Astyanax mexicanus: one gene and its partner. The protein of the gene in region 2 interacts with the protein of the main gene of each other region in a pairwise test. Links are inferred from orthologs where the notes say so. Each region holds a gene or a part of one and is shown on either strand. Other genes may lie near its edges. The genes, in order: cdk18 and ccnk.

Region 1 (15,869 bases), on a different chromosome or scaffold from region 2:
GTTAGTTATCTTGTGTAAGTATTTATAGGTTTAAATGGGATCTCCGGTTGATTCTGCGTTTTACAGAGACCTTAAATATACAGTAGGGAAGCACGGTTTGACAAGGCAGCACAACATGACAGAACACCGGTCAAAGCGTGCGCCGTTCACATCTGATTTTATGATATGGAGCGAACTCTGCGGCTTTGACGTGGTGAAATTACGCAAGCTCTGAATCACCAAGTCTGAGAGAAGTTAAGAGTTAGTAACGTTAGTTTAGCTAAAAGCAACGTTATCAATAGCGTTTTAGAGCTGTAAAATTTACTCTGGGGGGTGGGGGCAAGTAGCGTTCTCTGCTGCAGTGCTGTTAGCCAATCAGAGGCGATATGTTTGCATGTATGAATATTCATGAGAAAGAGCTTGATTTAGAAAAAAAAGAAACTCAATTATGTTTTACCAGTTGAAGTCATTGTTTTGTTGTTGGTCAAACAATTCTCTTTTTTTTTTAGTGTAGTGTTTTTTTTTTTCAATGGTGAAGCATGGAAGGGCTTTATGTGTGTGTGTGTGTGTGTGTGTGTATGATTCTTATTCCCAGCAATGAATCAACACTGACCTTTTTCCTGCTTTGATATTGACTGTCAGTTTATTGACTAGCGCTAGCCGCTAGCCTTGTGTATGTGTGTTTTTCATATACTATAGGTCAAAAATGCCTTCAATTCACATAGTGGTGTGTGTATAGCTAAAGCGCTCGTAGGTTACTCATTGGGCGGTCTTAGTGGTAGAAATTGCAGTCCATATCATTAAGGGCCCCGTCGGAAATGAGCGCGCTTGTTAGCATTGACGATCAGCGCTGTGGGTTCGCGCTGAATGTCAACCAGTAGCTCGCTGGCGACAGCACTGAGTGCTAGCATTGTGCACCAGTAAAAAGGGGCCATTAGTGCACAGGGCCGCGAGCGCTGATGTCAGCGAAGCGCGAGAGAACACGCCGGGGCCAGATGGTGATGGGGGCGGGCTGAGAGATGCTCACCACCTCTGGTCTGGACTCTGTTAGGCACATTGATTTGACCTTATTTGGCAACCCATGTTGGGCTATGAGCAGTGAGCACTGTTGGGACTGTGTAGAAACAAAATCGGTAACACTTTACTTGGATGGTCCATTTTATGGCCTTGTTGATGCTCAACTGACATTCAACTAACACTGAATTGAATGTCCATTAAATTTAACTTAACCCTATGTTGAATGTAAATGATTCAAAATAGAACCTAACCCTACACCTTAACCCTGACCTTAACCCTTAATCAAGCATAAAATCAAACCCTACACCTAACCCTAACCCTTACCTTAACCCTTAATTAAGCCTATAATCTAACCCTACACCTAACTCTAACCTTAACCTTAACCTAAACTTAAAATCTAATGCTAAACTCAATCCTAAAATATTAAGATAAGTGTTTGGGTTAGAGTTGAATGTAGGGTTATATTCAACAGAGAATCATTTACTTTCACATTTTAGTTCATTTGCTTTTAATAGACATGTAGTTGAATGTTAGTTAAATGTCAGTTGAGCATCAAAGAGGCCATCAAATGGACCATCCAAGTAAAGTGTTACCACAAAATATTAGAGAATCTTTAAACACCAAAACAACACTGCTTTTATTGCCTGGTGATGCGCAAAATATTTGGCAACTACAAAATGGCATATTTGGTAAAAAAAAAAAAAAATGGGAAAATGGCTGTGTACAGAGCGGGAAGGGAGTGTGGGAGAGGGACGGTCAGGAGAGCTGGTAGGCTTAAACAGCAGGTTTAAGTTCATTTTTACATTCTACTCTACATTCTACAAGTGGCGTGCAAAAGTATTCATACTCCATGGACTTCCATGGAATTTTGTCATCTTACAACCTCAAACATATATTTTTTAAATCAATATTTTAAGTGACAGACCAACACAATGTAGCACATCATTGTGAAGTGCAACAAAAATTATGCATGTTTTTCAACTTTTTAAGCAAATAAAAATCTGAAAAGTGAGGGCAAAAGTATTCAGCCCTCTTTACTCTGAAACCCTTAAATAAAATTGTACAGTGCAATCAATTTCCATCAAAAATCAGTTAATTAGTTAATCGAGTCCAGCTCTGTGTAAATTTATCTCAGTATAAATATAAACATCTGTTCTGTGAAGACCTCAGTGGTTTGTTAGAGAACACTAGTTAACAAACAGCATCAAAAAGACCAAGGAACTCATCAAACAGGTCAAAGATAAAGTTGTGGAGAAGAAGTTTAAAGCAGGGTTAGGTTATAATCAGGGTTATGTTCAATAAATTATCCAAAAATGGAGTAAAATGAAGAAAAGTATTCAACAACTGCAAACCAACATGGCAAAACATGGCCGTAGACCCAAACTGAGAGATCAAGCAAGGAAAGTACTGGTCAGAGAAGAAGCCAACCAATAGGACTATGCTCACTCTGGAGGAGCTGCAGAAATCCACAGCTCAGGAGGAAGGAGAATCTGTCCACAAATCTGGCCTTTATGGAAAAGTGAAAAGACGAAAACTATTGTTGAAAGAAAGACGTTTACTACCTCTTTACTCCTTACTCTGTACAAGTTGTACAAAACGAGCTGAGCTAATTTAGAATTAGCATCTGTATGTTTACCAAAAGTCAGTCTTTTGGTAAACATACAGATGCTAATTCTGCATGACTCTATTAACTAATTAAGTAATTACGACTTCTAAAGGAAATTGATTGCACTGGATTTTATTTAAGGGTTTCAGAGTAAAGAGGGCTGAATACTTTTGCCCTCACTTTTTAGATTTTTATCTGCCTTTCAATGTGTAAATTTCATTAATATGTGACTTCAGTAGAGTAGCACTGCTGTGGTAAATTTATGACTGAAATTGCAGCAGTTTAAGTACATTAATGATTACAATAGCACCGCTGAGGTACATTTATATCTAAAATTGCACTGCTGGAGTTGGTAAAATTGCACTGCTTCAGCCAAATTATTTATTTTGTTTAAAGTAAATTTTATTGCATCACTGCTGACGACAACTACCAGATAACACAGCCTTCTTGAACGTCTGTCTTGCTTCAGTTCCCAATCATCTCGTTCCCTACTGAGACATCGAGACCAACAAAACCAAGACTACCTCCTGCCAGCCGACTCAACAGCTACCCTCCTCTACCCACAGTCTTTTGAATAGCTTTTTCATTTAGGAATTTGCCCATTTCATTCCTCCGAGGTAATTTCTCCCACTCTATTCAGCTGGCTAAGAGTGAGGTGCAATTTGTTTTCAATAAGCAATAAAGCCCTCTATTTGTCACTGTTCACTGAGATTCAACTGTGCAATTATCTGCAATTACCTTCTCAAAGAGTTTCAGTACAGCTACTGCATCAGTACTGGAGCGGAACTGCGTGAGGTAGAGGTACGAGTGAACGGCAAGTCATTTTTGACTCTCTGCCTCATATGTGATAAGTAGTATATGAGACTAGTCTAGACCTGGGTGCTGATATCACACGGCTGGTAGATAAGCGAGCAGCACAGCAGTTTTCCTTTTGCTTAAAAAAAACATTTTAATTTTAAGCATTTTAAGGTTTTATATAGCACTAAAAAGTGTTTTTTGACTCGAGAGTGAAACCTTTTTTTGGTAATAGACTCAGTAGACACACATAACAAAAAACATATATAATGACAGGCCAAAAATAATGAGATAGCAGCAGCGATTGTGAGATGTTAGCTTTTGACTAACTTTTGGCTAAACACTGTCCAGTCAAAGTATTCACATTCATTACTCTGTAGGTAGAACTATAGATAATAGGGTTTAAAAATACTTCTGTAGAAGTTGAAGTATCAACTCAACATTTTTTTTCTCAAATAAAAGTGTAAAAGTATTGGATTGAAATCTATTTAAAGTATAAAAGTAAAAGTAAAGTAAGGGGAAAATGGGAAAATCTGTTCTTTGATTCGTTACAAAAGTGATTCTAAAACAAATGTAATGACATGAGGATTTTTGGAAACACTTCCTATGAACCCTGTATTTATAATGCATTATAAATGCATTCAAAATGCGTTATATGACATGCATAATACCTTATAATGACTGTAATAAGCCTGTATAATTGCTCATAAGTACTGACAGCGACCTTCATAACACATTATAAACTACAAGTATAAGGGTTTATAAAGAAACAGCTTATAAGGCCTTGTAATATCTGTTCATAAGAACACAGATTTGGTATGTTTTGGTATAATGAATTCTAATAGCTGCTATAATTTCTCAAATTAAGCTTTTATAAAAGTGTGTAACACATTATAAAGCCTTATATACAGTCATTACAGACTATAAGTGAAGTGAGTTTTCATATGCATTTAAAATGTGAAGTAAATTTTAGTGTGCCTCACTGTAACATCTTATAGAGCATTATGAGTGCTCTTTACTGGCTTTACGTAAAGTGTGTTTTCAAATGCCTTGTCAAATGCCTACAGTGAGGCATAATAACATTTACTTCATGTTTAAAAAGCATATAAAAACACTAAAGCATTATACCAAAATATACTAAGTCTGTTTTATAGTGCATTACAACACTACATTGTATACAATTATACAATTTATATGAACATTACACTTCATAAGGCATTATGAATACAGGGTTCATAGGAAGTGTTACCGTTTTTTTTTTTTTTTTTTTTTTTGTATGTGAAGACCCACATAAGTGCATCTGTCTTTGGTTAAATGATTGTATATGGATGAGTTGTATCATTTCTTGCAATAATGAAGAATGTGTAAAACTAATTAGTTGGTAGTTGTTACCAAAATGGCAAATAAATAAAAAATATAGTCCTATATATACATGCAATCCCTTCTTTTTTTGTGGATCCAATAATATGAACCAATGTATTTTACTTAGCCTTTACTTTAGAGCCTTGTACTTGCACTATCAGTACTCTTCTTAAGCTTTAGTTTACTTTAGAGGACTACTTCAGAAAGTTCATTTGAGGACAGCTGACTCTGCTGTTTCTCTGAAGATGATCTGTGACGATGATTGAAGCTCAAAGCTTCATCCAGCTTCAAACGACGCGACTGATCAGATGAACAAATTTACTTTCAAACTGTTTTTTTTTTTTTTTTTTTTTTAGAAAGTCGAGACGGAAGGTCTCTTGCATTTATACTTAGCTTGGATTCACACTTTGTTCCTGCTGTTCAAACAGTAATTCGCCTGTAATAAGTGGTGCTTATTTTGCAGTAATCCTCCCCTTTAGCTCTGGGAAACGTGAGAAGTTTAGCAGTGGGCACGCACTTCCCCTGTTGTCAAGTTAGGGACGAGTGTGTGTGTGTGCGTGTGTGTGTGTGTCGGTGCGTGACTGTGCTCAGAGCTAGCTAGCTTTGTTTGTTCTCAGTGTGTCTCGCTTTTGATGATGATGATGATGATGATGCGCTGCTGGTTTATTTATAGCTGTACTCTTTTTGCTAATTAGGTAGAGCCTGAAGCCTATTGTTCAGCCCATACCACTGGTCTCTCGCTCGCCCATTAGTGTGATTAACTGACGCTAGGTGTGTGTGTACATGTGTTTTAACGCGTCATCTCATCAAAGAAGCTTTAGCTTTAGTTCCACCGTTCAAGAACCATTCAACTGTATATACAGGGGTTGGACAATGAAACTGAAACACCTGTCACCAATGTTGGCGGTTTCATGGCTAAATTACAGCAGCCTGGTGGTCAATCTTCATTAATTGCACATTGCACCAGTAAGAGCAGAGTGTGAAGGTTCAATTAGCAGGGTAAGAGCACAGTTCTGCTCAAAATATTGCAATGCACACAACATTATGGGTGACATACCAGAGTTCAAAAGAGGACAAATTGTTGGTGCACGTTTTGCTGGAGCATCTGTGACCAAGACAGCAAGTCTTTGTGATGCATCAAGAGCCACGGTATCCAGGGTTATGTCAGCATACCACCAAGAAGGACCAACCACATCCAACAGGATTAACTGTGGACGCTGTAAGAGGAAGCTGTCTGAAAGGGATGTTCGGGTGCTAACCCGGATTGTATCCGAAAAACATAAAACCATGGCTGCCCAAATCAAAGCAGAATTCATTGTGCACCTCAACTCTCCTGTTTCCACCAGAACTGTCCGTCACCACAAAAAATGTGTCCTCCACTCTATTAGAAATTCTCTTCTATAGGTGCTCCACCTTCTAGATGTATACAACTCAGAGACAGAAGCTCTGAATCTGTTGGTCAGCCTCTAGTTCTTTATGGACCATGTGGTCACAGTCCAGCAGTGACACTGTGGCGTTTAATGCTTGGATGAGAAACAAAGATGTAATGTTCATATCGTCGCTGTCCAATGAAAAACACTTATCTCCAAAACAGCAACTTTACAGGAGAGAGAGAGAAAAAAACTTGTAAACTTTTAATGGAGGTCAATGTAAAAAGAGTTTATTCCTTCAAGTTTATTCATCAAGAAATTTTGGGACACTGTAAGAGACAGTTTGTTGTGTAGTAAATTAAAAATCGACAAAAATGGAGATAAGTGTTTTTATTTGGACAGCGACAATATACATGTCCAAATACACACATTGATCACAGTGTTGGTCATCCTCTAGTCCTTCATTAGTAGGAACAAGACGCTGCCACTAGAACACAGGATGTTGCCCACAGGACTTTGCAGGTGAACTATTCTCAGTCCAGCAGTGACACTGAGGTGTTTAAAAACTCCAGCAGCACTGCTGTCTCTTCTCCACAATAAAGTATACACATATAGATACAGGACTACAATCTGTTGTTTACTTCCAGGAGAACTACAAGTAGAACTACAAAGTGTCCTATATGCTTGGATGAGAAACAAAGATATAATGTTCATATCGTCGCTGTCCAATGAAAAACACTTATCTCTAAACCAACAACTTTACAGGAGAGAGAAAAAAAACCTTGTAAACTTTTAATGGAGGTCAATGTAAAAAGAGTTTATTCCTTCAGGTTTATTCATCAAGACATTTTGGCACACTGTAAGAGACAGTTTGTTGTGTAGTAAATTAAAAATCGAAGAATCAACAAAAATGGAGATAAGTGTTTTTCATTGGACAGCAACGATATACATGTCCAAATACATACATTGGTCACAGTGTTGGTCATCCTCTAGTCCTTCATGAGTAGAAACAAGACGCTGCTACTAGGACACAAGTCCACATGATGTTGCCCACAGGACATTGTTGGTGAACTATTCTCAGTCCAGCAGTGACACTGTGGTGTTTAAAAACTCCAGCAGCACTGCTGTCTCTTCTCCACAATAAAGTATACACATATAGATACAGGACTACAATCTGTTGTTTACTTCCAGGAGAACTACAAAGTTCTATATACTGTACATAAATATCTGAACACACACATTGATCACAGTGTTGGTCATCCTCTAGTCCTTTATCAGTAGTACCAATATGCTGCCACTAGGACACAAGTCCACAGGATGTTGCCCACAGGACATTGCAGGTGAATTATTGTATGTCCAGCAGTGACAATATGGTGTTTAAAAACTCCAGCAGCACTGCTGTCTCTTCTCCACAATAAAGTATGCAGAGAAACATATAGATACAGGACTACAGTCTGTTATTTACTTACAGTAGGAATTTCAGCAGAACTATAAAGTTTCCTATATGCTTGGTTGAGAAAGAAAGATATAATGTACATATACATGTCCAAATACACACATTGGCCACAGGATGTTGCCCACAGGACTTTGCGGGTAAACTATTCTCAGTCCAGCAGTGACACTGAGGTGTTTAAAAACTCCAGCAGCACTGCTGTCTCTGATCCACAATAAAGTATACAGAGGAACATATAGATACAGGACTACAATCTGCTGTTTACTTCCAGTAGAACTACAAACAGAACTACAAAGTGTCCTATATGCTCGGTTCAGGAACAAGGATATAGATACTGTAGATACTGGAGATACTTTAGACATACAAACACAACAACGTCTCCCATCTCAGCAAAGTCACAAACTCCTCCCTCCCACCATGTCTTGATGTGTCCACTCCAGCACCCGCAGCCCACCTCCACCCCCACTTAACACTAATGCTAATAATGGCTGTTCCTGCCTGTTCCTCCACAGACTCCCAGCTCATTGAATTAGTCAACAGTCAGCAGACTAAACACGCCGCACGCCTCCCATCACGAGCCTCCTGAAAGCGTGACTCGCGCCCTCAGATAAAAGTACCAACTTCCCCCATCAACCGCGGCACAGACAATCCAGTTTGTGAGTGTGTGTGTGTATTTATGTGTGTGTGAGTTCATACTTACAGTAGTGGAGAGGACTGCGGGAGAGAAGCAGGAGCCCGTCTCTCGCTGCACTGCTGCCAGTGAGAGAGAGAGAGAGAGAGAGAGAGAGAGAGAGAGAGAGGGAGAGAGAGAGAGGCAGAGGCAGGGAGAGAGGGAGAGGCGGGCGCCGGTGGCGGGGGGGTGGGGGCCTCCAGCTCTGTGGCAGCAGACGCAGATAATCCACAACTGGACGCGTCTTATTTAGAAGGCGTGAAGTGGACACGGGCTCACGCTCTCACTTGTCCACTCATCAGCCCCCCCCCCCCCCCCCCCCCACAAAACACACACTCCTCCCCTTCTCTACACCCTGCAACCTCACACTACCACACTATCACTACTGTCACTACTGTCACCACAGGCTGCTTCCCACACCTCCTAGCTCCTGTCTTCCTCCTTTCAGGAGAAAAGAAAACGATGGAGAGAGAGAGAGACTGAGACAAAGAGACACATGCAATTTAACACAATACTAAAGGAGAAAAAAAAAACAAAAGAAAAAGAAGAAAGAAAAAAAATACAGGAAGCCAATGTGTCTCTCTCTAAAGGATTTTATAATCACACCCAAGCTCCGCCCCCACTTGGCTGTCTCCCCTCCCCTATTGTTATAGCAACGGCCAATCGCAGCGCCTCCTGGCACGAGCCTACTCTGCCTGCAGTGTGAATGTCAGTGTGTGCTCATGTGTGTATTTGTGTGTATGTGGCTGCTTTAAATAGCAAATATATAACCAGCGCCGGCTAAAGCGACTGCTGAGCTTTTCTGCCGCAGCCGTAGGCTCGGAATGCACTCTGAATGTTTGCTCTGTCCTCACATCACATGCGTACATAACATTATGACCACCTCCTTCTTTCTAAACACATCCTCATTTTCTAGGACATATAGAACACTTCGTAACTGTATACACATACATTACATGTGACTGTTGTTCTTGTTGTGGTTAATGGTGGATCACAGACAGCAGTGCTGCTGGAGTTCTTAAACACCACAGTGTCACTGCTGGACTGAGAATACCTTAGTGACAAATAAAGTAGATTAAAATATACTAAGCATTATTATGCTATAGTGCACTAAAGTGTTCTTGTAGCCACTTTATTATTAATCTGTATATTTAAAGAGTGCTAAAATGGAACCACTTTTTTTGTACGTATTATACTTTAATTACAATATAAAAATATAAAAAAGTACTTACTTAAAAAAGTATTACTTAAATTGTGCTTAATGTACTTAACTGTACTAAAATGGAACTATTTTAAATATACTTAAGTAACATTTAAACATACTGCTTCATGTATGTAACCCCATAGTTTAAATATATGCTTATAATTTAAATAATATGCTTATTACAACTGTATCACTATTATACACCGGGTAGATTAGAATTGATGTTAAATATATTTAACATCAATGTTTAACATATATTTAACAAATATGTTTTTTTTTTGTTCCTGTCTTTGTAAGTAGCACACTTCCAGTATAATTTGTTGGGTATAAAAATATATTTTAATATACTTAACTACAATTTTTAGCGAGTTACAAATTAACTTAAAAAAAATTTAATTAGTAGTAGTAATTTAATTTACTTTCTAAAAAGTTACAGGATACACTGAACTACTGTAACAGTTGTTTTTAACACACTTTGCTAAAAATGTACAAAAGTATATTTGGAGTATTCTATTTATTTAAAAAAAAAAACAATATATTGTACTTGTTAGTTTACTTTCAAACATTTAAAGAAAGCATTATATTAATGTATTTTTTATATATATTTTATATATTTATATATTAAGTAAGTACACAAATCTGTTTTCTCTAAATGAATTTCTCAATATGTTGTAAGTACAACTAAGTATATATTTTTTTTCACCGGGGTAGTACATCAACAGCGTCCTGTATAGGCAGTGTCCAGTTATCACTGATGAAAGACCAAAACTGTGAAGTAAAGAGGTACAGATACTTTGTTACCTTGTTGATTGGTTATCCATACTTTACTGGAGTAATTTATATTTTTTAGACAAATTTTGCTTCTACCCCTTAAATTTTCACGCAATTATCTGAACTTTCTACTTCTTACATTTTTAAAATAGCCTCGTTACTCCTGTTTCATTTCAGCTCGTTTTCATTCTGGCTTCTCATCATAAAAAAACCCTATCCAGATAAATCTCTCCACCCAGATAGAGCAAATCTGATTGTGATTGGATGTAGAGAAGTATAAATATATACCATTCCGACTCCTTATTGGTTTATACTGTGATCCATCACACCTGCAGATGCCACGCCCCCCACACTCCAGCAAGAACATAGCAGACGTATGTAGTCTAGTATGAAGATGATCCGTGCAGAGACTCAAGAGAACTCCAGACAAACTCCAGTCCAACTAAGCTTTTACTTTAATGTATTTACGTCCTACTAAAAAACATTAATTTACAATGGCTATATGTGCAGCTGGGTTTCACTAGAGAACCTAGCAAATCCCATTTTTTTCAAGATTAAAATCTCAATATAACATTATTATAGTTAACATTATTATAGTCATTATGGTTTTTAGAAAAATGTGTTTTCGGGGTTGTATCTGATCCACTCACTGAGGGGGTCGTAATGTAAAATACATTTGAATTATTCTATAAACAAAAATGTATTTGCAGAAAATGAGAAATGTATCCAGATTCATTTAGAAACAACAAAAATACTCAGAAATCAATATTTGGTGGAATAACCCTGGTTTTTAATCACAGCTTTCATGCATGTTCTCCTCCACCAGTCTTTCACATTGCTTTTGGGTGACCTTATTTCACTCCTGGCGCAAAACTTTAACCAGTTCAGCTTTGTTTGATGGCCTGTGATCAACTCTCTTCCTCTTGATTACATTTAAGAGGTTTTTTTTTAATGGGGGTTCAGGTCTGAATATCTAATATAATATAATATATATTATAAGCATCACCAGATCATCTCCTGTCATCCACAAGAGGGTCCTAAACCATAACCATGTGGCTTGTGCCGCTCTCCAGGTCTCCGCCTAACCAATAGAAAACAAGGTTTGGGAGAAAGCTAAAAATTGGACTCAGAGAAGAATCAGAGAAGATGATTTTAATTTTAAAAAATTTTTTCTAGCTTTACATGACTTGCTGCCATCTGCCATTCTTTTTGTAGGTCACTTGATGCCATCTTCCTCTTGCTGACTGACATTCAAATAATTTGACGGTCAATCTCTAGACTTGAACCCTACTGAAAACCTCTGGAATATAATCAAGAGGAAGATGGATGATCACGAGCCATCAAACCACCAAACTGAACTGCTTGATTTTTTGTGTCAGGGGTGGAATAAAGTTATCCAAAAACAGTGTGAAAGACTGGTGGAGAGCATGCTCTGACACATTAAAGCTGTGTTACAATCAGGGTTATTTCACTACATATTGATTTCTGAGCTCTTTAAACGTTAGTTTTGTTGCTTCTAAATGAATATCAACTTTCTTTGCATTATTTGAGGGCTGAATCCTTTTCTTGATTTTGATTATTTCTCATTTTCTGCAAATAAATGCTATACATATTTTTATTTGGAATTAGGAAGAAATGTTTACCCTCAGGTCTTTTACTTGAATCTTGAAGGAATGAGAATTAAATAAGACCATATTATATTTGATATTATAGCTTTTTGAACAAAGAAAGGCATTTGAATATGAATGTTTGTTCAATCATTACTTTCAGAGTTATGGAACTACAGGAAAAAAAAAACTCATTCCAGATTATCGTCACCGATAATTAGACAAAGCATTTTATAGCCTATTAGTTCCGAGTACAAAGCAGAGTGTCTCATTACGAGAGATAATCATATTTCCTCCGGGCTCCTGTGAAGCGTTACATGAAAGTGTTCAAAAGCAGCCCAAGACATCGCAACGGACAATAAACCCTTCCTTCCGGAAACACTACACGCACACAATAAGAGGCAAGTGGTTACATAACGGCTTAGTGAGCACATTACCATAAAATAACACTGTGCAATAGAACGACTAGTACCTGTAATACAGACTTGAAGATGTCTAAACGAGTGCTAACTACTTTTCTGAAGACGTTGAGATAAGAATCCTCAAGCCTGAAGAATACACAAGATGTCCTTACACCCTTTAAAACTAAAGGGTTCTTCAAAAGCTCTTTATTAGTGGTGTCAATCGATTAAAATAATTATCAGATTAAAGGCACACTATGCAGCCTTCGGTTGGTTTTCTCACGACGCTCGCCCTGCAGGCCGGGAGTAAACGTGCACTATTGTGCTGCTGCTGTTCCTCTGGTTTCTTGCCCTAGACATACCTGATTGTTTTGAGCACAGCAGACCAGCAAATGCAACGAAAAATGGTTCGAGCATTGCATGGTTAAAAGTAAAGGTACCACTTTAAAATAAGACTACCTTTATAAAGGATTTATTAATGGTTAGTAATTAGGTTGTAAATGCCTTACAAATCATTAATAATTAAGCAATAGAACACGAGAGGGAGTGTGTTATCACGAATAACATCACGGCTGTGATTCGGTCCATAGATCATCACAGCCGTGATGTTATTCGTGATAACACACTCCCTCTCGTGTTCTATTGCTTTTATACAACAGTTTATTTTTTACAAAATGAATAAAGAAAATAAATCAAAGAACTTTAAGAAATTCAGTTTGAATATGCTTTAATATGGACTGTGCCTTCCGCCAAAAAGTAGTTCCACCACAACTTAACTACAAAACAGTGTATGGTTCAGGCAGGAATAAGTGGAATAAGCGAAGATGGTAACATTAGGAGCGTAAAATAACGCTAATACTCTCCTCTCCTGCTCTGTGGAGTTGTCTTCAGGTGAACGCTGCGCATTTTTGGAGTATTTCTGTTTGTTTTGCTGGGTGGTGTTGGTTAGCTTGTCGGTGTGGCTGGACTGTGGGTAGGTAACCGGAGTCAAGCTATCCGCGCTTCAGAAACTCGCAGTCAGCGTAGCTTGCTTTAGCTCAGCATTAACGTAGCTTAGCCTAGCCTGGCTGGTTGAGTTAGCGTTCTGGCTGTCAGACGGCATTAGCCGAGCGAATTTCCTTCCCTTTTTTCCATGAGTCAGCGCTGCAGGTGAGCGTGCCGTGGTTGAGTGCTAGCCTGTGCTAAGCTAACGCTGCTGTTGGTGCCGGTGGAGGCGATGATTCAAACTGTCCTGTGTGTATATACGCCGTTACTCGGCAACGCGTCGGCGGAGTGATACAAGTTTAGTGTGAGAAGGCCGTGATGTAATCACGAATATTATCACGGCTAAAACACTTCTAAACCAATCAGATTGTGAGGTCGGAAGTAACTGTTGTATAATCAGTTATAACACATATGTAGAAAGGGCAACAATGACCTGTTGTTTATAAATGACTAAAAGAGTTAGTGGTGGAATGGTTAAACTTGGGATTTAACTGGTTAAACTGATGTTGACTGATGGAGAATATGGAGATGGAGAAGCAAGTTGAGTTAGACGGAGAAGACAAAGTATGTTGAGTATCTGAAAAGCTCTAAAATGTAAAAATATAGATGGCTGTGGGTTCACTATTTGGCAAACAACAGGTAATTGTTGCCCTTCTACATATGTGTTATAACGTATTATTAATGATTTTTAAGGCATTTACAACCTAGTTACTAACCATTAATAAACTAATTGTAAACCATTTATAAACCCTTTATAAAGGTAGTCTTATTTTAAAGTGGTACCAAAGTAAAATGCAATTAGGAATTGCATTTTACAATGCAGATCATTATAAAACATACTTCAAACCAAATCTTTACCAATTAATGGGCTATTTAGTACAGTAAATACACATACCATAATTTTTGCACTATTAGGTTCTCTTAAAATCCATTCATTTCCCCAAAAACTGTCAGTGTTCCCTATAATTCTGTGCACCTAATCAAATACTTTTACCTGTTAGGTTGTAAGGAGCAGTAAAGCCACTCTGCTGAAGTTCTCGTTAAAGTTTCTCCAGCACCAAGACTGGAGCAGTATTAGCATTAGTCGTTTACTGCGGTAAAGTCTATTTTTTTTGCAGTTCAGAGGTGAGTATTGTTAGCCTGTGTTTTTTTTAGCTTTATTATACTTATTTAATGTGACAAACAAACACTAAAAACATTATAAAACATTCAACACTAGCTTTTACTTTGATAACAGCCCAGAGATTCAACAGTTTCAACAGTGATTCTATCCTTTAATAAAGTTTGCAAAACAGTAATAATAATAATAATAATAATAATAATAATAATAATAATAATAATAATAATAATAATAATAATAATAACTTTATCTATATAGCAACTTTCATAGATGAAAATGCAGCTCAAAGTCCTTTACAATGAAATTCCAATTACATTGGAAAAATGTAAAACAATAAGTAATATAAAAAAAAAAACTATTAAAAAGAAAAGGTTTGATAAAATAATTTTAAATAAATAAAACATTCATTACTGGTACATATATACATATTAGTTATCTACGTGATTGAGCTTAATCTACTTTTATACAGTATTATGTTTGTTTTATCAGTCTTCTATTAAATCTTACACTTTGAGAATTCTAGTACTTTCTAAGAATTATATTATTAGTGCAAATATTATTTTTAGATGTGATTTACACTAAGTGTAAACACCAGCAATAAACTATTTACACTAAGTGTATATAGAATTAAATGACTGTGTGCACTTGATACATGTGAATAGTGTTCTATATACACTTAGTCTAAGTATCATCTGTCTTTTCTTATATAATACATCCATATAATAATATAAGTTGGAGATATTTTAGTGGCCCAGAGTCCTTAAGAGTTGAAGGCCACTCTTCAGCCTCAGAGCCGAATAGCTGGAATCATGGTATGGAACCTGCGTTGTCTGAAAGGCCAGCCTAAAAGCCTGGAAGCTGTTGTGCAGAGTCACTCAGCGAAGCCCTGGAGAGCCTTTTAAACAGAATGTAGATTCACACCTGCGGCGAACCTGAAGACAACCTCTGAGCTGTGAAGTACTGTTCCTCCAGTGGCCCTGTAAACCTCCAAATGGCAACGCAGAGTCACTCCAGTGGCGGGTGTGGAGAAAAACACTGAATTGTGAAGTAGATTTGCTTTCTGCAGTTGCCAACCCAGCAAACCTCCAGAAGGCAGTGTGGAGTCACTTCCAGCAGTAGGTCTAGAGAAGAAATCTGTAACGAAGAGTTCCTCCAGTGGCCAGTCCAATAAACCTCCAGACAGCAATGTAGAGTCACTCCAGTGGCAGGTCTGGAGAAAAACCTTTAAGCTGTAAGGTAGAGTCGCTTTCTGCCGTTGCCAACCCAGCGAACCTCTATACAGAACCTCTATATAGAATGTGACGAAGTTGAGTGTGACGGGGTAGAATGTGATGTGGTTGAATGTGACGGGGTTGAATGTGACGGGGTTGAGTGTGACGGGGTAGAATGTGAAGGGGTTGAGTGTGACGGGGTAGAATGTGACGTGGTTGAATGTGACGGGGTTGAATGTGACGGGGTAGGATGTGACAGGGTAGAATGTGAAGGGGTTGAGTGTGACGGGGTAGAATGTGACGTGGTTGAATGTGACGG
Region 2 (16,274 bases):
TTTCTGTCTACATTATAGTTCTATATGATAAATATCACTCAATTACGTGTAGACAACATGTTGCACACATTTGAAACTCAAGTACATTTTTCAAAATAAAAATTTATATTGGAAAAAAAAATGTGATGCTGTGTCTATAATGTTACTAGCTTTTATTATTTTGACAGTGGTTGCACAGTGAATGACTATATAACTCTGGAACAGAGAACATGCGTTAGTGTTTTAAAAGAATTAGTAGATGTGGATCCAGGTTTTTGTGTTGTGATGACAAAATGTGCTTTTGTCAGGAAATCATATATTTGGTTCATCGTATAAGGTGTGTGTGTTGCTGTATTTAGAGTTTTAAAAAATGTCTAAAGTACTGGTAAACACTTAGCAGTTGTAAAAAATATAATTCTATAATTTGCAGAAAATGTAAAATGGTCAAAATAACAAAAAGAGGCAGAGCTTAAATAATGCAAAGTAATCAAGCTCTTATTTATTTAGAAACAACATTAATGTTTTAATTTAGAAAGAGTTCAGAAACCCTGCATTTTACAGTTTTCATGAGTCTTGGCATGCTCTCCACCAGTCTTTTACACTGCTTTTGGGTGAACTTTTCCCACTCTTGACCCTGTAGGTCTAGTTCTGCATGTTGACATCACCAAATAGTAGACTTTGAAGAGAAGTGCACATCTTGAGTCAGTTTTTGAACTTTCTGACTCATTAGTGGTGCTGTTCACAATACAAGATGGTTGTGCCAGTCCTTCAGTTGTTGTGACTTTCATCCTACATGATTGACCAGCAAAGAGAGTCATCTACCCACCCAGAGAGGGCAAGGCCAATTATCTTACAACAAGCTTATTTAAGAAACTCAGTTTTTTCCCCAAAGTTTTTTTCAAGAAACATTGCCTGTGCATAATTGTTAATAGTAAGTAATAGAATTATTTTAAACAGAAAATATTTTTAATGTCGAAGTGTAGATCAATCTTATTAATGAATTGTTTGGGACACCTGACCATACTTAGTGCCATTTTTAGATAATTATCTTTAATAAGATTGTCAGCTGACAGTAAATAACAACCAATTCAATAGACAGAAAAATGAAAAAACATTTATTTAATAATTCTTCTTCTTTGTGATTCAAAGTGCAGTTCTCACTTTAAGACCTGTTTACAAAGAAATCCAGATATTTCCAAAAGGGTTAACAAATTAGATAAATTAGATAAATTAAACAGAGATGGGTGGTGGAATATCAAGGAAGGCATCATACAAGCAATGTGATAGAAGTTTTGAGGAAAACGCACACGCACATATGCATGTGCACACATCCGCGCACACACACGCATCTGCACACGTATGGTTTGGTAAACACTGCAAGCCTACATTTTGCCTAAGGCACATCTGGAGAAGCTTGAATGAAGATTCAAGTTCAAGTCTCAAGTCTTCAAGTCTCCAGTTCTTACCATAAACAATAATTAAAAATGCTCTTTACACAAACTGTGGCTACAAATCAAGTTAATGACGGAAGAGTCTGTTTAGTCCATTTAGGTGTGATGGTCACTTTTAACTTGTTTATATGAAAAAGATATATTTTTCTTGCATCCAATTGTACAGTAGCATAATAATAAATCAAAAATAACTATCATTAACATGAATGTTCCTGATTATACAATTTTACTGTACATATGTACAAGTGACAATTCATGCTACCGTACAGCACCAAACCATTTCCTCTAGAGATATGTACAGAATTTATGTACCAATCTAATCAAAAAACCTTCCCCTGAAAAATTTTACTTTTATTATTGGCTCTATTTCAAGAAAAAAACACTATTTGCTGTCTTCAAGTCTTAAAGTCCAACAGTGTTAGGTGGTCAAATGAAGCATTCATCAGTTACTGGTTCTATTGTATTATGAATAATAAAACAGATTACAGAACAGTAATATATGGAGCCAAGTCAGTGCTGTCATTTTAAAACTATTTGAGTTGTTGGGACACATTCATGAAGCTTTCTAGAGTAAAAATAGATGTCATTAAGGATCAGATTCCTCTCATATTTACACAGACCCTACTGATGTCCTACATCTGCATTTTAGAAAAAAACAAAAGCAACCCCCCCCCCCCCAAAAAAAAAAAAAAAAAAACATGCTAACGTCACATATATATAATATTTCTAAACATGAAGATTCTACATCTATATCCTTAAAACAGAAATCAGGCAAAAATCAAATAAAGGTTAATAGTGTAAGTCATGAGTTTCTCACAAACAAATAACATGACTAAACAATACAATGACGTTCTGACCTTCCTGAGTTAGGTGACTGATGATGCTTTTGGTAGACGGTATTTTGAAATGAGCTTCAGCTGCACCCCTTACACAACCCGTCTTCATCTCATCCATGCTCCGCGATTCATCCCAGACACTGGCGGCATGCCAGGGGGCATGGGTACCTGCGGCTGGCCTGGGGGGACTGGCGGAGGGGGATACCCAGCAGGAGGCAAACCTATTCCTGGCGGAGGAACCGCATGTCCTGGGGGCATGCGAGGGGGAGGAGGAGGGTAATTGTGATTGTAGCCTGGTGGAGGGTAGGCCGGGGTGGGCGGTGGAAGGTTAGGAGGTGGGTAATTTGCAGGTGGTGGAGGGCCAGGAGGTGGAGGGTTTGGAGGAGGGTAAACGTGCGGGTGATAAGGCATTCCATATGAAGGGGGCATAGGGGCATATGATGGTGCATCTGTCTTCATCATGGACTGCAGACTTTGGAAGCCCTCACCCGACATATATGAACTAGAAGTGGACATTCCCATGATGTAGCTGGAGGGGGGTGGAGGTGGAGGCCGATGAGGCAGAGGCGGTGGAGCTCCATGGGGCAGAGGAGGAGGTGCCTTGGATAAGTCTGAGTCAGCTGAGGCTGCTGGTTCTGTCTCTGTTGGAGGGGCCGGGGCTAAGGGTGGGCCTTTGCGATCTAAATAGAGAAACATTTAAAGTATTGAAGTAAAAAAATATTAACCCAAATTTATTAGTGTAGTTTGTTTAAACTAAGTATTAAGCTCGGTTTTACAACCATCAATACATGAAAATGTTAAAATTATTTAAAGAACTTCAAAGATGGTAATTAAATAAGTCAATTATATTTTGAAACTTTTACTAGGTAATTTGGTTCAGTTTTCTTAGACAAGTATTAAACCTAACCCTGGAACAGTGCAACAACTGAGGTTTTTACCAAGTAGCTGAGTAACTGGTAAGGGAGGCATTGGACTCTCTAGCCGTGGTATTTTAGAGCCAATTTGCTCTGCAAATAAAAACAAAAAAGGTTTAGCATGCATGAAGTTAAACAAAAACGTCATTGACAAACAGCACATTTGTAACCAGCTTAAATAGTTCTAGGAAAAAAGCCGATCTATACCTGTGGCAACTTTTGACTCTTCTTTTGGCGAAACCTAAAAAAAGAGGATTAAAAATAATTTTCAATACATAACTAGCAATTCATTTTAGTGGGGAGTACTGTTCATGACTAAAGATAAAAATGCTTACATCCTTGACAATTATGCCTCACTTCATGCATATATGCATAATCAGTCATGGGGCATATAACTAATTTTCACAATGATGCAAATCCTGACTGATTATATAAGAATGCTTTTTATTATGAATCCTGCTCTTGGTAGTATCCCTTACAAGTGGAGAAGATTTCCAATACAATTCGTGCAGTTGAAGAAGAAGTGGCATTTTAGGGTTAGAGTTACGCTTGGGTAAGCCCTGAATCTAAAAATCAAACACTTCCTTCATGGTGCAGCTATTTTTTCAACAATTAACAGTGTATTTGTATGTTCGCTACACATCTCACAAGCCATCTATCTGTAATGGACATGAAATAAAAGTTTAAACCAAAAATATTTGACATGGTACAAATGTACAGCTAAGCATTAATAATCTCAACATATTTACTTAAAATAAAATTAATTACATATACAAACATTAAATTAAGCCTTTCAACCCAACAACTCTGACAAAATAAATATTCAACTAACGTGCTGTCGTTTAAGCTGCCGTGGGGGGCTGGCCTGGGGAGAGTTTTTCTTAGGTGGAGGTGGAGCTGCAGGGTTTTGACCTCCAGACTGGCCTGGCTGGCCTGCAGGAGGTAGCGGTGGCTTGTCTTTCTCCTGCAACTGGGGCTGTTGTGGAATGGGCTGCTTGCCCTGAGAATATAGATCCAGGATTTGGTGGCAGATATCTGAGAAAGAAAGGCAAGCAATTATCTTTCAAACTTGCTATAAAGACTTTTGTGTCATCTTGTTCAGTTTTAGCACTCCCATAACACACACACACACACACACACACACACACATTTAAATACACATTAAAGCATCCTACCCTCCAACAGCTCCACAGGAACATCTTGCACAAACTGTTCCCACCAGCGACGGGATGACTGCTTGGAAGTCCATTCCTGAATGTCAAACTTGCACAGACGACCAGCCAAGTACATGACAGCAATAGCTATAATCTCTGGCTCCCACTGAAGAGACAGCATTGTGCAGAGGCTGGAAAAACCAAACAAAATTGCTTATACCACACAGTCTGCTTAATCTTTAATATTAAAAATGAATAATAATTCCCTAAATTTCACAATTGCAGATTGCTCTAATTTACAATAAACCAAACAGCTCTCCATGAGAAGGACAATTAAAATGCAGGTTGGTTTTAATGCTAACCTGTCATTCACAAAGGTCCAGGCCATTTGCACCAGCTTCTGCACTTTGTTCTTGTCTCCTGAAAAACAGCAGTTAACAAGACAAACAAACATGCAAATAAATAAACAAACAAAACCTAAATGTCTGTAATGCAACATCAAAAATGGCACCAAAATCATATACCTTTGAGTTGTTTGGCATAACGCAAAAGGAACTGATATGGATGCTCTACTTGCAGATCAAACTTTATTGTCTGAAGCAATATTCTCTCCAACACCATAACTTCTTCCTGTTAATAAAAGTTATACAAACCAAACTATTCACAAAAATCAACATTTACAGTACAGTTTGAGGTCAGAAATAGGCATGTTTTCAGAATCTGAATGTCTTCAAATCAAAACACTACAAAGTAAAAATGTAACAAAAAACTTAAATGTACAAGTCCATATGTTACATATGCCTTTTAGAAAACAATTTAAGCTAAATGTATTCAACTAGAGTGTTTGCTTCTTTGCAGCATCCTTCAAGCTATTTATTTTCAGAATAATGAAAAAACAATTAAACTGATCCAGCAAATATTCCAATGTGTAAAATGCTGACAAGACTGTAATCTCAACTTGTTTTACTACTTACATATGGAAATAAAATAAGGTGCTGAATACTTACAGACCTTACAGTATGTGCTTCTGACTCTATGTTTACCTTTGGATCATCCCCAAACTGGGCGAACTGCACATCATTAAGCAGGCTGCGAGCTGTTTTTATTATGTCTTTGCACTTTTTTGGAGTTTCCTCAACCTTTCCAGCCAAGAACAGACAGCAAGCCCCTGTGACCTGGAAAATTAAAGCAAAACAACCTCTTTCACCTAAACTGTTGTAGGACAATGTCAAGCAACATAATGATAAATAACCGTATTCCAACGGTACTGTTATGCTATGTTTTTTTAGTTGATAAGAAAATAAATGTTGACTTGTCACAAGTTTGTTAAAAGACTGTGCCAGTAACCCACAGGCATCCATGAACTCTTTCCACTTCTCGCCCCTCATCCCAACAATACTGCCCTCCATTAAAATATTACTAAATCATAGCTTATGAGAGATATTAGGTAAGACTCATGTGAAGCAGAGGTCACCAATATGGTTGGGCAGGACTGTCCTACCTGGACTTGTAAGCAATTTTAAGATGCCCATTTTATTCCTTTCATTTTTTTTATTTACTTGACAAATTAAACCATTTACTGAATATTAATTTATTGATCCGTTGTGATTTAAATTGCCATTGTCATTATTCAATTGCTGACTACATAAAATGTTGAGATAACCAAGCTACTTAATATACAGGATTTGTAAGCTTAATGGAAAGTTTTACATGTTGCCATTTAGGTAAGCAACTATACATTTTTTTTTCCTATATCGCTCTTTAAATAAAAAGTGTTACACTTTTACATTAATTTGTTAATTATTTGGAAAAACACTGGAACTATTTATCCCCTTGTTATTAAAATACTAATAAACCACGTTATTACACAAAGTCTTTGACCATTATCTTTATGTCAATAAATATTTATTATTAATTAAAATGCCTATTACATAAAAATAACATTTTAATTCATTAATATCTACAGACCCCCCAGAGTCCTACAAAGACAGAATACGACCACTTTGGCAAAACTACAATGGCAAAAAGCACATCACAAATATAATTATAAAATAATATATAATATGATATATATATATATATATATATATATATATATATATATATATATATATATATATATATATATATATATAATAAAAATATAATTATGGGCAGTATGCATCTGACTCCTGTTTTTTTTCTTCACAAATTTTTTTACAAACAAATCAGGAACTGTTTGTACACTGTAAATAGGATCCAGTGCAAATCTGGGGTGGTTTATCCCCATACCTACAGTACTGTTTCAAGACAGTGTTACACAGAGCCGGACCACACTTACATATCTCGGGAACTGCTTGAAGGAATGAAACATGTAGAAGCGATGGAAGTAAATAATCCCTGTGGCCAGAGTATCATAGTGTCTGTTGAAGGAGGAAATGTTAAGGGTAAACAGGTTAAAGCGGTAAGTCGCGCATCAGCACACAGTAATACAGGGTTTTAAAACAACACGAGCAGAAGGAAATGAAGGATACAGTCCCAGTCGAGTTCCAACGTCGAATATGAAGCGGGCCCCCTCTCTCCGGTATCGGGCCTCAGTGGCCGGATCCAGGCCCTCGGACTGGGATGGGGTGTGGGCCAGGTCCTTCTTGTCCCAGTACCAACATGGCTTGATGTGGTCCAGATTAGTGGTCAAGCTGCTGAGAGCGGAGTTCTCCTTGTTCTCCTTCATTTGACACAGATCGGAAGTGCTGCTCACAAAGCTGGAGGCACAAAGAGCTGCTGCTTCTCCTCAGCGCGGCCGGCGGACCCGCGGCTCCTTCTCACTGAAGCTCAGCTCCGCTCCTCTCCCTCAGCGCCCGCAGACTCTCCCGCAGCCCGGCCCGGAGCACTGTGAGAATACCGGCGCTCTACACCGCGTGCAGCGCCGCTTCTCTGAGCTCTCTTTCACACCTGAACACAGGAACACACACACAGCCGCACCGCACTCTTCCTCGCGCGGGGAGGACGCTTCAAACAGATAAGAGCGACGGTCGCCCCCAACTGGTGGAGAATGATTCTCCTCCGCTTGCTGCCTCTCCACTCTCTCCACAATCTCTCCACTCTCTCCACAATCTCTCCACTCTCTGCACCTCATGCCTGGAGCTCCCACCAACATGTGGTGGGATCACTTATCAAAGTAAAAAAAAGTATATACACTTAACTGGCATTAATTAGCATGCATATTGAACACAGCTAAACCTATGTGTGAAATCCTACATTATTTTTTTATGTGTATAATAACAATAACAACAAAAATAATAATAACAACAATAATAACAACAACAACAACAATAATAATAATAATAATAATTATTATTATTATTATTGTTTTTATTATTGTTATTATTATTATTATTGTTATTATTATTGTTTTTGTTGTTTCTGGTACAATGGACTACACAGTATTTTCATTGGAGATTTTCCATTTAAAGGAAAATAAGTAACAGTTTATGCTTTTTAAACTTTGTGATCATTGATGACACAGTTCATTTTGTTGTTAACTCTATCCTATTATGAGGAAATCTATAAGGGGAACACATCACATTTTCTTCACTGAAGGGGATCACTTTTTACCACAGTCAGTGGGGCCGTTTATATTTAAGTGAAGTTTAAAACAAAATAATCAATATTGAATTGATTGAATTAAGTTATAAATGTATAGGAATGAATGGAGATAAAAGGCTAAAAACTAAAATCAGTAAACTAAAAACCAGTAACTAACTGCTTGTCCAGGAAATGTCTTTAATTCTAGAAAGTTGATGAGCTGATTATGAAGTAGCAGCCAGAGCACGTCTGAAAACGTATAGGCTTACATGCCTTCATTACTGAAATATTTACTGTGGTTCTATATTTAGAGAATATTTTTTAAACATAGATGAGCTCTTGTTTTGATTATTTGCTCCATGTGAACTCATTTACCCGGGGAGACTCTCTGGCGGGTATTCCTCCGGTCAGTGTGGGCTGCTGAAGTAGCGGCGCCTGTCCTGTAGGGGAGTCAGCCTGGTATACTGGCCCTGTTAATATCGGTCCCACGACTGAGGAGAAACCACTAGCCGGACAGGAGAGCGTTCGTTAAACTACTTAACTGTGATGGAGTGGTTTACCCTACTTCTCTTAGTGACTGTCGTCGTCCTTTGTTTTCGGCTTCTCTTCCTTCAGAACAACCCGAACGCCCCTCCGTGCATCAGAGGATGGATCCCGTGGGTTGGAGCTGCCTTTGAGTTTGGAAAAGAGCCTCTGCATTTCATTGCACGTGCAAGAGCTAAGGTAAGCGTCTCAGTGTTAAAAGCAGCACGTCCTGCAGACCTTATATTGTCCAAAATGCCATATCAATGTTAAATTCCTACTGTAACAGCTTTTTTATACCTGTTTTTTATATTTTTATAGCAAGAAGGGGCACTGTAAAAAAACATGATGGATATGTTTTTTTCACTACAGTTTTTTAGGAGATGCACTACATTTACAGACTTTATAAGATAAGTTAAAGCAAACACATCGACTGTTGTACAATATTACGTATTAATGTTTCACAGTTGTCAGTGTTGTTTCACATTAAGGAGTTTTGAATATATAAAAGTAATAATATAAAAATTAATCTGCAGTAAAATCAAATCTAAAATCAGATTATCATGGATGTTATTTACAAGTCCCTAACATTTCATGTACTCCTTATAAATGCAGCCTCCTGAATAGCCAGATGTTAATGACATCACACTCTGCTGATCTTTAGAGGACTATGAAAGGTCAGAAGTCCAGCTCCTCCCCTTTCAGCAGCAGTGTTGAGTGTCTGTGTTTGGACACACAGAAACACAGTAGAGTTGCTGTATCATAGTGTATCATAGTATCGTTGTGAGCAGGTAGAAGTGTTGAGAGAAACACTGATGAGAGACAACATTTATTTTAGTTGTCAAGCTATTTCAGCATTGTCTTTTAATTTAGACTCAACCACAACATGAGTAAAACAACTACAACATACAATTCTCAGAAAGTAAGTTTAGCTAACAGCTTAACATTTAAATTTGATTGATGCTTATTCATTTTGATAAGTATTTTTGGTATGATATCTGCAGAAGAAAAAAAAGAAACATAATTTGTCCATTTCTTTCTATGGGATAGTAGATAAAGACAGTAGACAGTAGTCTAATTTCAAAGGCAGTGGACTTATTTAATTATTTGAATTTAAAACAGACAGTTTTAAAGTTTAATGTGTTTCAACAACAACAAACTACAACAACAACAAAACTAAAGTTATAGCTGGTCTGGACATCATGCAGCATGTAAATAGTATTTTGTGTTGTTGTTTATTCTTCTAAATGAGCATGCTGTATTGTTTTCCAGTATGGGCCTGTCTTTACAGTTCTTGTTGCTGGGAAGCGGCTGACCTTTGTTACGCTCCATGAAGACTTTCGAACCTTTTTCATGTCCAAAGATGTTGATTTTGAACAAGCAGTGCAAGAGCCTGTTCGCAATACAGGTAATCTTCTTTGCTTCCCATGACTCTAGTAACTCGAACTGTGTTTGCAGTCATTTGTGTTTGTGTAAGTAATATATATATATATATATATTTTATATTATATTATATTATATATATATATATATATATATATATATATTTTTTTTTATATTATATTATATTATATATATATATATATATATATATATATATATATATATATATATATATATATATACACACACACACAGTACATGCCAAACGTTTGAACACACCTCTTTTTCAATGTGTTTTCTTTATTTTTATGACTATTTACATTGTAGATGTACTTAACAAAAAATATTCTATTTTTTTTTAAATAGCCACCCTTTGCTCTGATTACTGCTTTGCACACTCAGTGTTGCCAACTTAGTGACTTTGTCGCTATAATTGGTGAGTTTTCAGACACTCTAGCGACTTTTTTGTAAAAAAAAGCATGTGCTGCCGTGAGCCCCGCCCCACAATACTCACAGTGCAGTCTCTCACTCAGAGCACACCCATACCGCACTACGAATACACTGTATATCAACTGCGTATGCTCACAGCCGCCACTGACTGACCCCGCCCCGTATTTACAGAACAGGATGTAAATATAAAGGTGTCTTCAATGTGACACGAACAGCAATCACTACATTTAACTCACAGTCTCAGTCAGTCACTTACCTCATTCACCACACAGCCTATCACTCACCTTGTCCACAGTGTCTGCCTCTTTGTAAAAAGCTAAACATCTAGCTAGCTAGCTCATCATTGAACAATTTGTCTATAATAGGTTTGAAAATAAAAAAAACTTGAAAAAAAAACAAACAAAAAAACAAAAACGTAGAAATAACATTTAACCACATGTTGTTTATTTGTTATTTGTAACATTTGGGGTGTTTTTTTTTTGTTTTTGTTTTTTTTACTTTTTTCTCTCCCACAACCCACAACATTAATCCTTTACAGCTTCAAAAAAATGTATTATGCAAATTAGGCGATGGCGTAATTTAGTGTCTTCTAGCGACTTTTAGGACAGTCAATAGCTACTTTCCTGAGGAGCTGGCCACACTATGCACACTGATTACTGCTCTTGGTATTCTCTTAATGAGCTTCAAGAGGTAGAGTCACCTGAAATGGTTTTCCAACAGTCTTGAAGGAGTTCCCAGAGGTGTGTAGCACTTGTTGCCCATTTGCTTTCACTCTGTGGTCCAGCTCACCCCAAACCATCTCAATTCAGGTCCAGTGACTGTGGAGGCCAGGTCATTCAGTGAGAATCTACAATGTAAATAGTCATGAAAATAAAGAAAACGCATTGAATGAGAAGGTGTGTCCAAACTTTTGGCCTGTACTGTATATATATATATATATACAGGTGCTGGTCAACGAATTAGAATAATTTGAAATAGTGCAATCATGAAATTCTTTGAATGCATTTTTTGTGCAGAAAGCAAATCAGGTGTTCACCGCACCTGTCCTACTCGTTAGACTAATCACAGAACTCGTTACCTGGAAAACAATTTGCTCAGCTGAGCTTTCCAAAAGGCCCATTTAGGCCATTTAACTGTGACACTGTTGTTTTATTGAATTAGAATAATGGAGAAACCGTTTCATTGAATTAGAATAAATGCTCGAATTTTTGTTTTCTGTGAAGAGTGTTCACTGTGCAGTATAAAGTCAGGGTTGAGTAGAATTTCTAAGTTGTAAAATCAATCATGGGTAAGCAGCGCGACCTCTCAACCGGAATAGTGGCTCAAATTCAAGCCCTTCGCCAACAAGGCTTGACCCAAACTAAAATTGCTGAGCAGCTCGGCATCAGCCAGTCTTCCGTCTGCAAAGCTCTCAAGAAAAACTGCAGCAAGCGCACCAACTGTTCCGCCGTCCGAAAAACTTCTGCTCGTGACAACAAGCAGCTGAGAAAGATCGCAGTCAGCAACCGGTTCAAGTCCACTTCCGAGCTCACCGACTTGTGGAACAAGCAGCCCGGCGCTGACGTCTCCAGATCAACCACTTACCGTCGTCTGCGCGAACTCGGCTTCAAATCTCGCGTTCCAGCAGTAAAACCGATGCTGAACAAGAAACAAATGGAGAAATGGCTGAAGTGGGCCAAAGAACACGGCGAGTGGACTGCTGAAGACTGGCAGAAAGTGGTCTTCAGTGACGAATCACGCTTCTGCATCTCCTTCGGTGACCAAGGTCCTCGTGTCTGGCGTCGTGGTGGTGAAACCTACAACCACGAGTGTGTGAAAAGATCCGTCAAGTTTCCCCAGAGCGTTATGGTCTGGGGATGCATGTCCGCTCGAGGTGTAGGGAAACTCTGCTTCCTCAAGAAGACTGTCAATGCTGCCGTATATCAAGATGTTCTGGAAACGTTCCTGATTCCGACTGTTGAGGAACAGTTCGGCGAAGAAGACTTCATATTTCAACAGGATCTTGCACCGGCTCATGCGGCAAAGTCGACCAAAGATTGGTTCACTAAAAAACAGCTTGAAGTTTTGGCATGGCCGGCCAACTCGCCTGACCTCAATGTCATTGAAAACCTTTGGGCCATCGTCAAGCGGAAAATTCGCGACAGAAAGCCTACTACGCTGGACCAACTGAAGCAGAACATCGCCACTGCCTGGGAAGCTGTGAGTGCGGAAACTTGCGACAAGCTGGTCAAATCGATGCCGCGGAGACTTCAGGCAGTCATACAAGCCAAGGGGGCAGCCACAAAATACTGAGAAAGTGATGATTGTAATTATAATAAAAATTATTCTAATTCAATGAAACGGTTTCTCCATTATTCTAATTCAATAAAACAACAGTGTCACAGTTAAATGGCCTAAATGGGCCTTTTGGAAAGCTCAGCTGAGCAATTTTTTTTCCAGGTAACGAGTTCTGTGATTAGTCTAACGAGTAGGACAGGTGCGGTGAACACCTGATTTGCTTTCTGCACAAAAAATGCATTCAAAGAATTTCATGATTGCACTATTTCAAATTATTCTAATTCGTTGACCAGCACCTGTATATATATATATATATATATATATATATATATATATATATATATATATATATATACAGGATGTGTATATGCAGTAACTTGAAAATAGTATGTTTTTAAGAAAACAAATGGTAAAACTGTGGGCAAGCAGTAAGTGTTTAGAGTTAAAATATACACACAAACAGTGCAATGTCAGTTGCATGTACACAAGCTAGTGTGATGACTTTTATTAGCTAAACAATTTTTACTACTTTAGTTTGTCTGCTGTTGCTAATTTTAATACATTTAAGGCATATTCTAAATATTGAGTGTTGTGGTGTAGCTATAACAGCTTGGCATGCTTTGGGTTTCTCCCCAGCATCCATTAGCAAAGAGAGCTTTTTTAAATTCCATCCAGCCTGTAACACAATGATTAAAGGAAGACTGACACCAGGCAACACAGCCTTGCTGGTGGACCACCTGTGTGAAGAGTTCAACAATCATTTGGAGCTCTTGGGGAGGAAAGGATCTGGTTCTCTCAATAAGCTGGTCAGGTACAACCTGTCACATGTATTTTTTCACACAAGACCTTTTTCTTTTTCAAGAAAGTGTCACAGCCAAGCATATATAACATATTTATAATTTTTGTCAGTGTCTGAAGTGTAAAATCAAATCTATATTCTTTTCATTTAGATTGTATATATGTAATGTAGGCCTGTTATGATAAAAAATAAGCAATTATTGGATACATTTTATTGTAATTTTAAGACCATTAATTGTCACTGACATACACTGCCTGGCCAAAAAAATTAACTAAGCAAATTATCTTGGTTTGCTGCAGTTTTTTTACTGCAGAAAACCAAGAAAGAGTGACTCAGAGAGCATGAGATCATAACTTTCACCACAGAGTTCAGACCATTTAAAGACAAAAACATTTTAATTAATCATACATTGGAAAATATGTATTGTTTTCTTCACCTACTGCAGTCTGCACTGTGTGTATAGAGACATGGTTCTTGAATCATTGATCTGTTCACTGTTCTACATGTGAACAAACACAAAAAACACAATAGATGGTATCAGAATAAATATTATTGAGGCAGCTGGCTGACATTGAAGAAAAAAAGCCACATATACATTAACATGGCCGAAGTCACAGGACCGCAGTTTGTAAATTCATAATAAAATGTTACCTCAAGAAACAGTGTGGGAACACCTACTCTTGTATACGTTGTAAAGCGTTCTCTTGTGAGTGAGGCTGATTGACATGGTTAAGCCAGGTGAATTGTGGGAGTTGAAGTAAGATCTGATAGAGGGTGCCAGGTGGATGAAACATTCAGTTTCTGAAAATTGTGTCAGGATTTTTACATTCCTTGGTCCACAGTGTTACACGTGTATAGGGAATACATCACAGAAGACATTACTACCCGCAGTTCCCAGCATAAATGTTGACATCTGGCTAGAATTGTCTTATCCACATTCAAAGCAAAACACCTCACTAATCCTGCAGGTTAGTGCAGCATTATTCTGATTGCATGGGACACCGAAAATGTCTCATTTAATTGTTCAGTGGTGTAAAATTGTGTTTGCACCATTATTGATTTCTTTTTTTTTTGCATGTTTGTCACTCATAAATATTTCAGTTCATTAAACAAATGAAAAATAGTCAAACAACACAAATAAACACATGCAGTTTTTAATTGAAGGTTTTTATTTCTAAGGCTGGAAAATACCCAACCATATACAACCAATAGCCCCAATTCCACTTTACAAAAAAAGATAAGAGTGAACACCTTTTCCACACCATTGTTTATTTAACACACCAATATGGCATGCATACATTTTTTAAGAAATTGGATTAAATTACATGCTATTGTCTGAACTGTTTGAGTTTGGTCACATTTACATTTACTCTTTTCTTTGCAGGAGTGTCATGTACCCAGCTGTGATGAGTAACCTATTGGGTAAATCCAATTCACCCAAGAGTGCCCTGGAAAAGCAAAAGTTCATTGAGAAGTTCACCACTTATGATGATGGATTTGAGTATGGATCCCAGCTCCCTGATATGTTTCTAAAGTTAGTGACTGGCCAGTGTCCTCATAACCTATTTGCTCAGTCAATAAATGCACTACTGCTCTTGTTTTATTCCACCCCACAGCTGCTGCACTGAAAGATGTATATGTAGTTTTACCTTTTTCCTTTTTTTAAGAATTTGACTAATGGTAACACCATATACTCTCATCTTAAAAATAATAGTTGCACCCAGAAGGAGTCAAATGACAGGAATTGAACTTGGTGGGCAGTTTCAAATAGTTCAAATACAATTTAAGCAGTTAAGAGTTTGAGAGGAAGCTCATCCCAGAGCTAAGGTTAGGTTTTGGGTAAGGGTTATGGCTAACGCTCTGACCTTTCCTACTGGGTGCAAGTATTTTTTTTTATTTAGACTAAATCATATTTAAAGCATAAATACAGTGATATGGAAAAGCCTGGGCACCCCTGATAATTTTCTTGATTTTCCTTTATAAATCGTTGGTTGTTTGTATCAGCAATTTCAGTTAAATGTAGTCAGGTTTGATGGTTTATGAGCATGGACAGCCTGCTTCAAATCACACCACAAATCTTTAATAATATTCAGGTCTGGGGACTGAGATGATCATTACAGAATGTTGTACTTGTTCCTCTGCATGAACGCTTTAGTAGATTTAGAGCAGTGTTTAGGGTCTTTGTCTTGTTAAAGTATCCAGCCCCGGAGCAACTTTAACTTTCTCACTGATTCTTGAACATTGTTCTCGAGAATCTGCTGATATTGACTGGAATCCATGAGACCCTTAACTATAACAATATTCCAGTACCTGCACTGATCACACTGCCCCACAGCATGAAGAACTACCACCAAATTTTACTGTGAAGAGCAAGAGTTTATCTTGGAATTCTGCGTTCTTTTTCTTTCATGCATACCACCCTGCAAATAACTAAATTTTAGTTTCATCAGTCCACAGCACCTTGTTCCAAAATAAAGCTGGCTTGTTTAAACGGTCTTTAGCAAACCTCAAGCGACTCTGTTTGTGGCGTGTGCTCAGAAAAGGCTTCTTCTCTTCTTGTGTAAAGTGCTCTGAATAGCTGAATGATGCACTGTTCTCACCATCCTTCTCCAATGATTATCTGAGGTCTTAACTAGAGCTGTGCCTGTGATCTTCCATTTTCTCTCTATGTTCCTCACAGTGGAAACTGACAGCTGAAATCTCTGAGAGCTTTTTATATCCTTCCTGATGTTTTATATCCTTCCTGATGTTGAACAATCTTTGATTTCACATAATTTGAGAGTTGTGTTTTGAGGCCCATGATGCCACTCTTCAGAGAAAATGCAAAGAGGAGAAAAACTTACAATTGGCCACCCTTTTTTTATAATTGAATTTACCTGTGTGTGTAGGTCAAAGGTCAGTGAGCTTACCAACCTATTTTTGTACTATTACTGCAAAAGTATTTA

Evidence for each region.
Region 1: the proteins of ccnk (region 2) and cdk18 interact in binary tests that used the Homo sapiens proteins (3 or more experiments, as listed by UniProt). The two-hybrid records come from large-scale screens. The link is inferred for Astyanax mexicanus from reciprocal best matches to the Homo sapiens genes CCNK and CDK18.

Annotation. Positions count from the first base shown.
Region 1 is NC_064431.1:6,531,816-6,547,684, forward strand, and holds the start of cdk18 (cyclin-dependent kinase 18), read right to left. Parts: upstream 8,528-15,869; 5' UTR 8,283-8,527; intron 1-8,282. UniProt on the Homo sapiens protein: May play a role in signal transduction cascades in terminally differentiated cells.
Region 2 is NC_064408.1:54,979,672-54,995,945, forward strand, and holds ccnk (cyclin-K), read right to left. Parts: upstream 7,375-16,274; 5' UTR 7,045-7,374; coding exon 6,848-7,044; intron 6,737-6,847; coding exon 6,655-6,736; intron 5,510-6,654; coding exon 5,378-5,509; intron 4,965-5,377; coding exon 4,859-4,964; intron 4,755-4,858; coding exon 4,697-4,754; intron 4,526-4,696; coding exon 4,356-4,525; intron 4,216-4,355; coding exon 4,013-4,215; intron 3,422-4,012; coding exon 3,388-3,421; intron 3,274-3,387; coding exon 3,205-3,273; intron 2,947-3,204; coding exon 2,372-2,946; 3' UTR 1,074-2,371; downstream 1-1,073. Other genes in the region: 24-hydroxycholesterol 7-alpha-hydroxylase, read left to right, coding at 8,445-8,621, 9,693-9,828, 13,167-13,341, 14,714-14,863. UniProt on the Homo sapiens protein: Regulatory subunit of cyclin-dependent kinases that mediates activation of target kinases.